2 linked regions of the Caenorhabditis elegans genome follow. The protein of the gene in region 1 interacts with the protein of each later gene in a pairwise test. Each region holds a gene or a part of one and is shown on either strand. Other genes may lie near its edges.

The links.
Region 2: the proteins of serr-1 (region 1) and kvs-3 interact in a two-hybrid assay, tested with the Caenorhabditis elegans proteins (one large-scale study listed by BioGRID).

Annotation. Positions count from the first base shown.
Region 1 is NC_003279.8:8,570,926-8,575,467, reverse strand, and holds serr-1 (Serine racemase), read left to right. Parts: upstream 1-1,718; 5' UTR 1,719-1,720; coding exon 1,721-1,945; intron 1,946-2,301; coding exon 2,302-2,468; intron 2,469-2,713; coding exon 2,714-2,798; intron 2,799-2,851; coding exon 2,852-2,981; intron 2,982-3,030; coding exon 3,031-3,200; intron 3,201-3,625; coding exon 3,626-3,676; intron 3,677-3,718; coding exon 3,719-3,844; 3' UTR 3,845-3,912; downstream 3,913-4,542. Other genes in the region: rskn-1 (Ribosomal protein S6 kinase), read left to right, coding at 3-246, 296-655, 887-1,035, 1,123-1,195; gon-2 (Transient receptor potential channel), read left to right, coding at 4,511-4,542.
Region 2 is NC_003283.11:9,316,420-9,322,138, reverse strand, and holds kvs-3 (BTB domain-containing protein), read right to left. Parts: upstream 3,829-5,719; 5' UTR 3,827-3,828; coding exon 3,395-3,826; intron 3,351-3,394; coding exon 3,112-3,350; intron 3,065-3,111; coding exon 2,904-3,064; intron 2,856-2,903; coding exon 2,706-2,855; intron 2,486-2,705; coding exon 2,396-2,485; intron 1,542-2,395; coding exon 1,258-1,541; 3' UTR 792-1,257; downstream 1-791. Other genes in the region: F44A2.7 (N-acetyltransferase domain-containing protein), read right to left, coding at 1-37, 267-333, 523-636.

The sequences.
Region 1 (4,542 bases):
AGACTTGTGAACAAGAAGTCGTTGGGAAGCGAGAAGGAAGTTGCCGCTATTATGGCAAATCTTTTGAACGCAGTTCAATATCTGCACTCCCAACAAGTTGCTCATCGTGATCTGACAGCTGCAAATATTCTTTTCGCTTTAAAGGACGGAGATCCAAGTTCGTTGAGAATTGTTGATTTTGGGTTTGCCAAGCAATCGAGAGCAGAAAATGGAATGCTCATGACTCCATGTTACACTGCTCAATTTGTAAGTTTATAAGATTTATATGCAGTTCTTAGACAGTTTAAAATTCTAGGTGGCTCCGGAAGTTCTTCGCAAACAAGGATACGATCGTTCTTGTGATGTCTGGTCCCTTGGAGTTCTACTTCACACAATGCTCACCGGCTGCACTCCGTTCGCGATGGGTCCAAATGATACACCTGATCAGATATTACAACGTGTTGGAGATGGAAAGATTTCAATGACACATCCAGTTTGGGACACAATTTCCGATGAAGCAAAGGATCTTGTAAGAAAGATGTTAGATGTCGATCCAAATAGAAGAGTCACAGCAAAACAAGCATTGCAACATAAGTGGATCGGACAAAAGGAAGCACTTCCGGATCGGCCAATTCAATCAGAACAAGTTGGAGAGCTTGATATGCAAAATGTCAAGGTAATTGGATGGTTTTTTTGTATCACATGAAAAACGATTATAATTTAAAAATTCAAACATAACGAGATTTTTTACTTAAAAAAAAACAAAAAAGGTATTCTGCCCAAAATCCGAAAAAATTTTCCTCAAAAATTCAACCGTTTTGAATATCGATACATAATAGTTACAATACGGTTTCGTTTTCTAATAAGAGGATTCGGAGCGCCATGTTTTAATTAATTGTGAAATCAGTTTCAGGTTGCACTTGAGCAGACATATAAAGCAATCGCATCGGCTCCAAGTGTTCAACTTCGTCCAGTTGGATCGTCTGCACTTGCGAAACGACGAATGAAGGAGATTCTTTACGCCAACTACACGAAGAATGTGTCAGCAAATGCATGGTGCGTTTTTTTTCTTCAATGTCGCTGGCTCTTATCGTGACAACGCAGACCAGCCATCTTATAAATTCACTTTGACCTTCCATAAAGTTGCAGAACCGACCGATCAATGTCAAATTCTTGCCAACCGCTCACCAAAATGTACCGTCGAGACGACTTGTAAATACATCGATTCATTTTTACGCACGGATTTTACTTTTTTCTTTTTTAAATACTACTAACATTTATCCAATTGTTTCAACAAATGCTCCTCATTGAAGCCCAATCACCAATTTAAATAACTATTTATTGACTCCATAATTACATTCATTTCATCCAAACAATAACTAACTTTATTTACTCATCACACTCATCCCTTCCAAATCCTCTATCGCCTATGTTGTGATTAAAATTGCGCATCCAAAAGAATTTTCAGCCAAATACGGGATTTTCTGCATTGAATCATTTATTTCCTTCTAATTCTTCATTTATTCATATTCTCTTATATGCAGAGATAAGATTTTGTGAATGTTTTAAATTTCTAATGCTCCCTTTAATTTGTTTTAAATTGAGAAAATCAATAAATTGCTTGTACAGTTCACAATAGTTTTTGGTCAAACAGTGGTTGATAAGATAAGATAGTTAGCTTTTTGATTTCTGATTCGGTGAACTTAATTTTTTTTCATTTTCGTATTTCCAATTTTCAGCCATGACTACAAAAATAACAATGGAAGAAATGAGAGCAGCTTATCAAAGAACTGCTCCATTTCTTCATAAAACACTTGTTATAACAAGTGAAAATATTGATGAAAAAGTTGGAAATGGAACACATGTTCTATTCAAATGTGAACATTTACAAAAAACTGGAAGTTTCAAAGCCAGAGGAGCACTGAATTCTGCTATTTTGGCAAAAGAGAAAAATGCAAAAGGAATGGTAAGTTTTTTTTTTGATTCATATGAGCAAAAATATTTTTTCAATTTTACAATCTGATTCCCAGATGTTGCTCCATAAATTTTAAACTTTTTGATATTTTCCAAAATTTTCAGTCAAAGTTTTGAAAAACTGCCAATTTTTTCAAAAATGTGGATTTATCGAGCATTGCTGCAAGTTCGAATTCCTAGAATGTTAATATACAATAAATTGAAAAGAAATAATTTCATAAACTCTGTAGAAGATAAATTTTTGGTCGATTTCCGAAATGAAGATAGGTGAAAGTTTTACTAAATCTTGTAACTGAATAAGTGAATCTTTATTAGAAAACGTTTTAGTCCAAAAATTTCAATTTTTAGATTGCCCATTCGTCTGGAAATCACGGGCAAGCTCTAGCGTGGGCTGCTCAAAAAATCGGACTTCCTTGTACAATTGTCGTTCCAAAAAATGCTCCAATTTCTAAAATTGAAGGAATGAGAGAATACAATGCGAATATTGTTTTCTGTGAGCCAACTGTTACTAGTCGGTGAGCCTAGAAATTTTATAAGAAACTAGGGATTTTACTTTAAAACGCGTTTCCCATTTCATCTAATTGGTTCGAGACTGGGCGGAGAAAAACGCTGATTGGACTCACAATTTCCATTTTAGATGAAATCAATCTGGAAAAATATAGGAATTTGCATTTTAAAAAGTTGATTTTTATCTTTCCGGTTTTTACAAAAAATCTAATTCTTTATCAGCCTAACTTCACAAATAAATTACAGTTTCCAGAGAATCTGTATGTGCTGATTTGACTGAAAAACTTGAGTATTATTGTGTAGAACCTTATAATTGTGTTTCAATGATCAACGGACATGTAAGTTGTTTTCAATTAATAAAACAACTAAATAATATTCTTTTTCCACACAGTCATCAGTTGCATTTGAAATCCTGGAACAGGTTGGCAATGAGATTGATTCCATTTTTTTATCTGTTGGAGGTGGTGGTTTAGCTTCATCTGTTGCTTTTCTGATAGGCAACTTGAGGCCAGACATCGAAGGTTTGTCAAATCACATTGTCACTTGTTTTTACTATATCTACATTTATAGTATACCTTGTGCAACCAGCACAGAAAGAACTTTCGAACTTTCTGGAAAATGGAATTAAGTGTCCGGTTGACACATTGGATACAATTGCTGATGGAGTTCGTGTAGCAAGAGTTGGACCGCTTTGTGAACCAATACTCAAACAGTATTGTGCACAAAAAGTTATCAGTGTGGTAAGTGTAATATATGAAGGTTAAAAGTGGATCAGCGTGCATTGGGGCTTTTGTATTTAAATGCTGATCAGGTGAAGTGTAGGGAGTTCGAAGACACTGATTGGTTCGAAAGTGGGCGTGGCTTCTTGTTTGGGAGGCTGTTCAAACGGTGGAATTAGTCAGTGTTCAAAATTCAGGTTACTAAATGTTGAAATTGTGTTTCTTTTTCGATTTTCTTAAATGGAATTTCAGTTTTGGCTTATTTTGAGAATTATTAAACAAAAACCTAATTAATGTTACTTGACATATGAGTAAATATTAAAGTACTAGAGTTACTTCTATTCAAGACCCTATGTACTGCAAAATATTGTGAGTTTTGAAGTAGAAACCACGTGACAAGGAGATGAAAGCATATATATATATGATATCTACAAACTATTTTACAGAAGGAAGACGAGATCAAAGAAGGATTGAAACTCATATGGACAAGAATGAAGGTTACTTTCAGAAAATTAACATTGCTTAATCTTTATTTTCAGCAACGAATTGAACCAACTGCAGCACTTGCATTTGCAGGAGTTCTCTACCACAAACCGGCTCACATCAAACGTCCACTAGTCATCCTATGCGGAGGAAATGTTGATACTAATTATGTGATCAATTAATTAATATTAATTTTTTGAAATTTTTTGATGAAATTGTTAAACTGATAAATAAAAAAAAGCCAAATTGTGAAACGAGAAGTTTGAACTGCATTCTTCTATAAAACAGTGTAAACGAGGGAAACGTTTTTTTCGTTTCGCGGAAGTTTCAAAAACGGTCAAAGCTATCATCTTTTCTGCAAACAAGAAAATTCAGGTGAATAGTTGCTTCGTGTATAACTTGTATTCTCGAAACTCAAACATGCGGCAACTACCTTATTAACATATCGTCGTGATATCTGCGTCTATTTCTCTCTCTTTCTGTAAGGGGTACAATCATCGTTTATTCTTCACCAACTTGCAATTAGTCTTCAAAAGACGCAGACTGCGTGATTGATAACATCTGCAGGAAAATCACAGTTCTTGCGTTTTACAATGATAATTCATCAATTTCTCCAAGTTTTTAGGATTTGTTGTTCATTTTTACTGAGAATCAACTTAATTACCCCAACTCTTCTAGAAACTGGAATTTTTTTTAAAAATTAATTTTATTTCTATATTTAAAATAATTTAGAGAAGACTTGCCACTTTCATTTTCGGTACTTTTTTCTTTTCTTTTTTATCTAACCACTTTCTGTGATTCTTAAAGATCGAATCTGTCAATGTGACATTAGTTATCTTCGAACGAAAATGATGAGCGACGATATGCTTGACGAGAATGA
Region 2 (5,719 bases), on another chromosome or scaffold:
CTAGCTAGGGATACTGAAGCTACGTACCGGTCGGTTCCTATAAAAATAATTAATTTTTTTAATCTTGCAATAGGTTGGTAGGTATGCATGTAAGCAGTCAGCTGTGAGCTTGGCACCTAGGCTGACACGTAGGAGCATAGTTATGGGAAAAGGAAGAGATAGTGGCGCGAGTGCTAAACGCTAAAGCTGACAACACTAAGATTGTGCATTAAATTTTAAAAAGCGAGCAGTCAGTTTTTTTTGATCGTAGAAGTTGGATAAATTACCTTTTTGTTGAATCATGACCATCCAGTGCTTGGAATAATTATTTTTCCATATGTCGTAGTCATTTTCCTAAAAGATCACATAAAGTGATTAAAGATTATTTTGTGATTTTCCTTGCATACTGTCCAAATTATAGTGAACGAAAATAAAATATTTTGTCGGTTAACAAAGTTTTTGAAAAGATTGAGGTGATAATAAAAATTTGGAACTGATGGGTGAAATAAGTTAGGCAAGTTATAAAGACATCTAAGTTCATACCTGAAATGCCCATCCTTCAGTAGTAGATACTAGATGCACAAACTCTTTGAATACATCATTTGGTGGATTGTAGGTCAAAATGAATTCATCGTCAATTATATCAACTTCTGTCATATTTATTTATCTGAAACTCAATTCGTAAGAAAACTTTGCGTACATGTTGAGAACAACGTCGGTGCAAAACTGGGAAGCGAAATGGAAGGGTCTCCTTATCGTTTTTCGCGACTTTTAGTCTGATGAAAAAAAAAAAAAAAAAAATTAATTACAAGTTTAGTATGATCGTTTTTATCAGTAAAAAAGGATGAAGAAACGGTACGGGGGTCGGTACAGATAATTTATTATTGTTTGAAAAATGTGAAAACGATGGAGTTCAGAAATTGAAGAAATCGGAAATCGAGTGGACATTAACCCAAAGGTACCTAACCAGAAAATGAGAAGAGATCTATGGAGATTCTAGAGTGGCAAGTTTTTGACACCAATAATAGGAATATCAGAAAAGGGTTCAATTTGCTTTGAATTTTAGAATAATTCGCACAATTTCAGCACTAATGAAATGTCCTAAAATTCAAATTCTCTGACAAACCTAAACAATTAATGAAAGAAATAAGGAACATTTTTGGAGACAAAAAACTGGGACAAAATCGAACCCGTTTGGTGTATATTTACAAATAAAAGGGGTAAATTAAAAACAAGAAGGAGAAAAATGATTGATAAGATAAATAATAATATTAACAATCAGAATCCAACATATCGTTTGCTCTTCTTTTTCACTGGTTGGGCAGCCGGTGCTCCATTATTCAATGGGTGTACAGTCCGATGCACAATCATGTGCCCTTGTTCTTCGTCTCCATCTCCACCGCTCCACCCTCCTGTCGATTCAGCAAATTTGTCGATTATCATTGAAATTGGGAATGCGAGCACAATGATTCCACACACTGAGGCCAAAGCAGCAACCACTTTTCCTCCAGCAGTTATAGGCACCAAATCACCATAGCCAACTGTGGTCATTGTTATGACACCTGAAAATAATTATATTAGTTTAAGAATAGGAAGCCCACGAGTAGTCATGGTACCGCATCTTGGTCTAACTTCTGGAATCCGTGGCACCACGTGTTTTTGCAAGATGGAAGTCACTACAGTTTTTTCAAATGAAGTATACAACAAAACGATTGTGAAGTCAAACTCACAAATCCACGTATTGGCACGGCTTTCAGAGGTTAAATCTAGATGAAAGCACTAACCGAACACTTCATAAACTTTTGAAATTTGCATTATTCTAGCAAAATTTCATTGTACTCTGCAGCCATAATCAAAATCCCATTAAAAAATTCACATAAAACAATTTCAGTCAAACTTTTGGTAAGTTACCAAAAATTTTGAGAAATTCGGCATTTTTGTGAAATGTACTGCAATTTTGCATTTTCGGATCTATATCATGTTTAGATACAAATAATCAAAAGATAAATATTTACCTATAAAATTTTTAAAATTGAATTTTGCAACTAAAAAAAAAAGAAAATAACATCAACACTTAAACTACATGTTTGGCATAATCTAAAATAGGAGTTGTATATTCATATTCAACTATAGTCATTTTTCCTAAATCCTTAAAATTTATTTTTGATGTTTCTGAAATGAGTTGCCCATCCGACGTAATTTCAAAATCAAGTAAAACAGTCTATCATACTAAATATATCATTTCACACTATGATTATCATAATATCTTATCTTTTGCAAAATAACAGTAAAGGTTTCAGACTTCAACCTTTTTATCAGTTTTAAAATTCAACGAAACACCAAGTATGTTTTCCATAATTTAGAAATTTCGAATAACATCGCTCCATTAATTGTTTGAAGTTTTCAAAGAACTTACACCACCAGCAGGCTGCTGGAATACTGTAGAACTTGGAGTTGGGCTCATCTCGCTCGAAGAAATAAATTGCAGTTGAGAACAGCATGATTCCTGTTAAATTTCAAGCATCAACATTTCATTCATTTTCACGGGTTAAAATTCATTTTCGTTTTTTCTGTTTTACAGTTTTCTAGCATACGAACAATAAAAAATTGACTCAGAGGAATTAGCTATAGCTGGATGTTCATATTTTTGGTATTAGCTGCAGCTTTACAACTTTGAAACAGTATAATTTCAACGGGAATATACTATGAAATTAAGGAAATATTACCTGTTACCAAAAACATTCCAAGCATACTGAGCTCTGCCGCAGACTTTTTCATTGTTTCTCCAAAGGCACGGAGACCAGTTGAGTACCTGGCGAGCTTGAAGATACGCGCTACACGGGCAAGTCTCATTACTCGAACCACAAGCATTGCACCTGTAATTTTTTTGGAATTTTAAGGGGCAAAATGTCATGATTATATACCTCTAAACTCTTTCATCCATTGCAATTCATTAAACGCTTCAATCATAAACGGCAACACAGTCAGCAAGTCAATAACGTTCAGTGGACTCCTAATAAATTCTGCTTTTTTCGGATTCACAAGGAGACGTGCAAGGTATTCAAATGTGAAGTACACCATACACCTGCAAACATTGTATTATAACTTCTGATATGTTCATACTAGACATACAATAATTCCAGCCAATGAAGGAGATAATGAGGTTCTTTATTTTCATCCTGCAGCTCTGGCATTGAGCTTAGGATTAGTCCGAGCAAGGAAAGAAGCACAAAAAGAGCTGATCCAACTGAGAATATTTTTGCACCAGAAGATGATCTCGGATTTTCCATTAATCTGTATAATTTTAGTCGTTGTGGTCCTAACACGACTTTATCAAAACATGAAGACGGTAATGAAGAATCAACAAATGCCTAAAATAAAAATAATTAACTTCAAATCATATATGGATACCTACTTTCTCAGTTGACATTTTCCCAGCTATATTGTTATTTTCTTCAAGAATACAGCATGGTGACATAAACGGCGTGGGAATTCTCCAATAGTCCAATTCATATCTCAATCGAATCGGACAAATATCCATTGGACGATGAAGTTTTCCAGTTACGTAGAAATCAATTACGTATTCAAAAATAATTGGCGATCTTTCAAAGTAGTACTCCGATGTGCTTTCAAAGAAGGCATCACAATCTGTCAGCCGTTCAACATGTGATTTTTCACAGAATACAGCAAGTCGTGATGTGGCAAGCCGTCTTATGATGATGTCCGAGTTGAGCCGAGCTCTACGTCCACCAACATTGACAAAAACAATGTCAGGAGGCCTAACAACTGATCCATTCGGTACAGGTCCTGCTACTGGTGACTCAATCAACGGGACCTCCTCATTCATTCCTGAAACTCCAAAATTTCCAGAATTGAAAAATAGATTTGGAGGTATGGGGAATTGAACCCCAGACTTCTCACATGCGAAGCGAGCGCTCTACCCCTGAGCTATACCCCCACGAAAAATTGCAATAAAAGTAACTGATAGAAAAGACAGAGACCTAGAGAGGCAAACATAATAGAGAAAAAGGCAGAGATGGCAGGCGAATGGCGCCAGTCTCTCCGGGGGCCAATCTGTGAGAGGGGCGCCAAGAAATTTCAAAATTTATGATTCTTGAAGGGGATTTTAAATTTTGAGTTAAAAAGGAGGCAGAAACTGGGTTGTAGGAATTGACGAATTTTCATGGACCAGCGAGCATTCGAATGGATGTTTCTGAACTTTGATATTTGGTGAAAAAGAAAAAAGTTTGATGATGTTTCATGAAAAAACAAAACACAGTCTCTTATTAAAATTGGAGTCCTATGTACCAATAAATATTGATCATTCGAATCAGACAAGTATCAAATCTCAGCTCTTGAGAAGCAGAAACTGGTGTATTTTTTATAGTTACAACTGAATGTTTCAGAAGTAATCTGCATAATATTATTGTTAGAAGTCTATTCCCAAGACAAAAACGTAGACTGGTCTCAGAAGAATCTTTCTGATCTATAGAAAAATCTGAAGTTTACAAGGTTATGTAAATTTGAACCAAGCGACAAAAAAACTTGCAGTGAACGATAACAGCGAAAGAAACTATTTTGATAAAATTACTATTCCTAGAAAATGTTTTTTTTATTTTTGGAATGCTTGAAACCAGGAAAACGCTACAAATACCAATGAAAAAAAACTGAAACAAATCTGCGCGTAGAATTTTTAAAAAATCCGCTTCAACCACTGTAAAGGCAATACATGTAACTTAACACATGAATTTTCAAGTTTTTGATGTATAATTTCAAAGGGATTTAAAAGAAAATATTCGAAAGAAAAAAATCCATTCGAAAAATTGATCACCTAAACTTTGAATTTGACGAACGTGAGCTTTGAGTATTCACTTGCAAAAACGAAGTTATGACGTGTCAGAATCTAAAATTGGTAAATAAAGTTCAGGAAGATGAATGAATGGGAGAAGAGAATTCTCAAAAAGCACGAATTCAAATATCTTAGCCTTGTGCTCTTCTTCTTATCCTTCAGAGGCGAAAATTGAGTTTCAAACATTCAGAAGATGGGGCAGGTGAAGAAGAAAGGAGACGAAGAAGAAGTTGTTGAAAAAGGCATACTCGAAAATAGAATTTCAAATCAAAAATGAGGCGCTTTTTGTTCGAACACTCAGGCGTCTGGGAATAAAAGAGTGAGATATCATCATGACGACTCACAATCACTCGTTATTATTCATTTGAAATAAATAGTCAAATAAATAGGAACATATGGGATTAACTCAACGATGAGGAAATTTTTTAATCTAAATTCCAGAACAATTGATGGGAAAGTTTTATAATATGTGCAGGCTGAATCACTTTAATAATTGGAAAATCCTTCTTCAAAATGTCTGAAAAAAATTCTGCGATGGAAATCCACTTTCAAAAAATGTTCACTATCAGAAGCAGACAGAACTCAAAAACACATATTTCAAATTTATTTGAAAAAAAGCGAATCATCGAAGTTCTTCACAAACATCGAGACTTTTCAAAACGAATTCTGGTTTCTAACGAGTAATCCTGTTAAAATTAAATTCTAGAAATTGAGAAAGAAGGATTTGAGAACGAAGAAAGGTACAATAAATTGAGTGAACGTGAGTTTCCATAAAATACAATTCTAGGTAATATACATAATATAAAGAGTTGTAGTAGGTAGACTTGTTATTTAAATTTTGTAGAACACAAGGCAGAAAATCTCTATTTGGAGGAGCTCGTGGGCGACAAC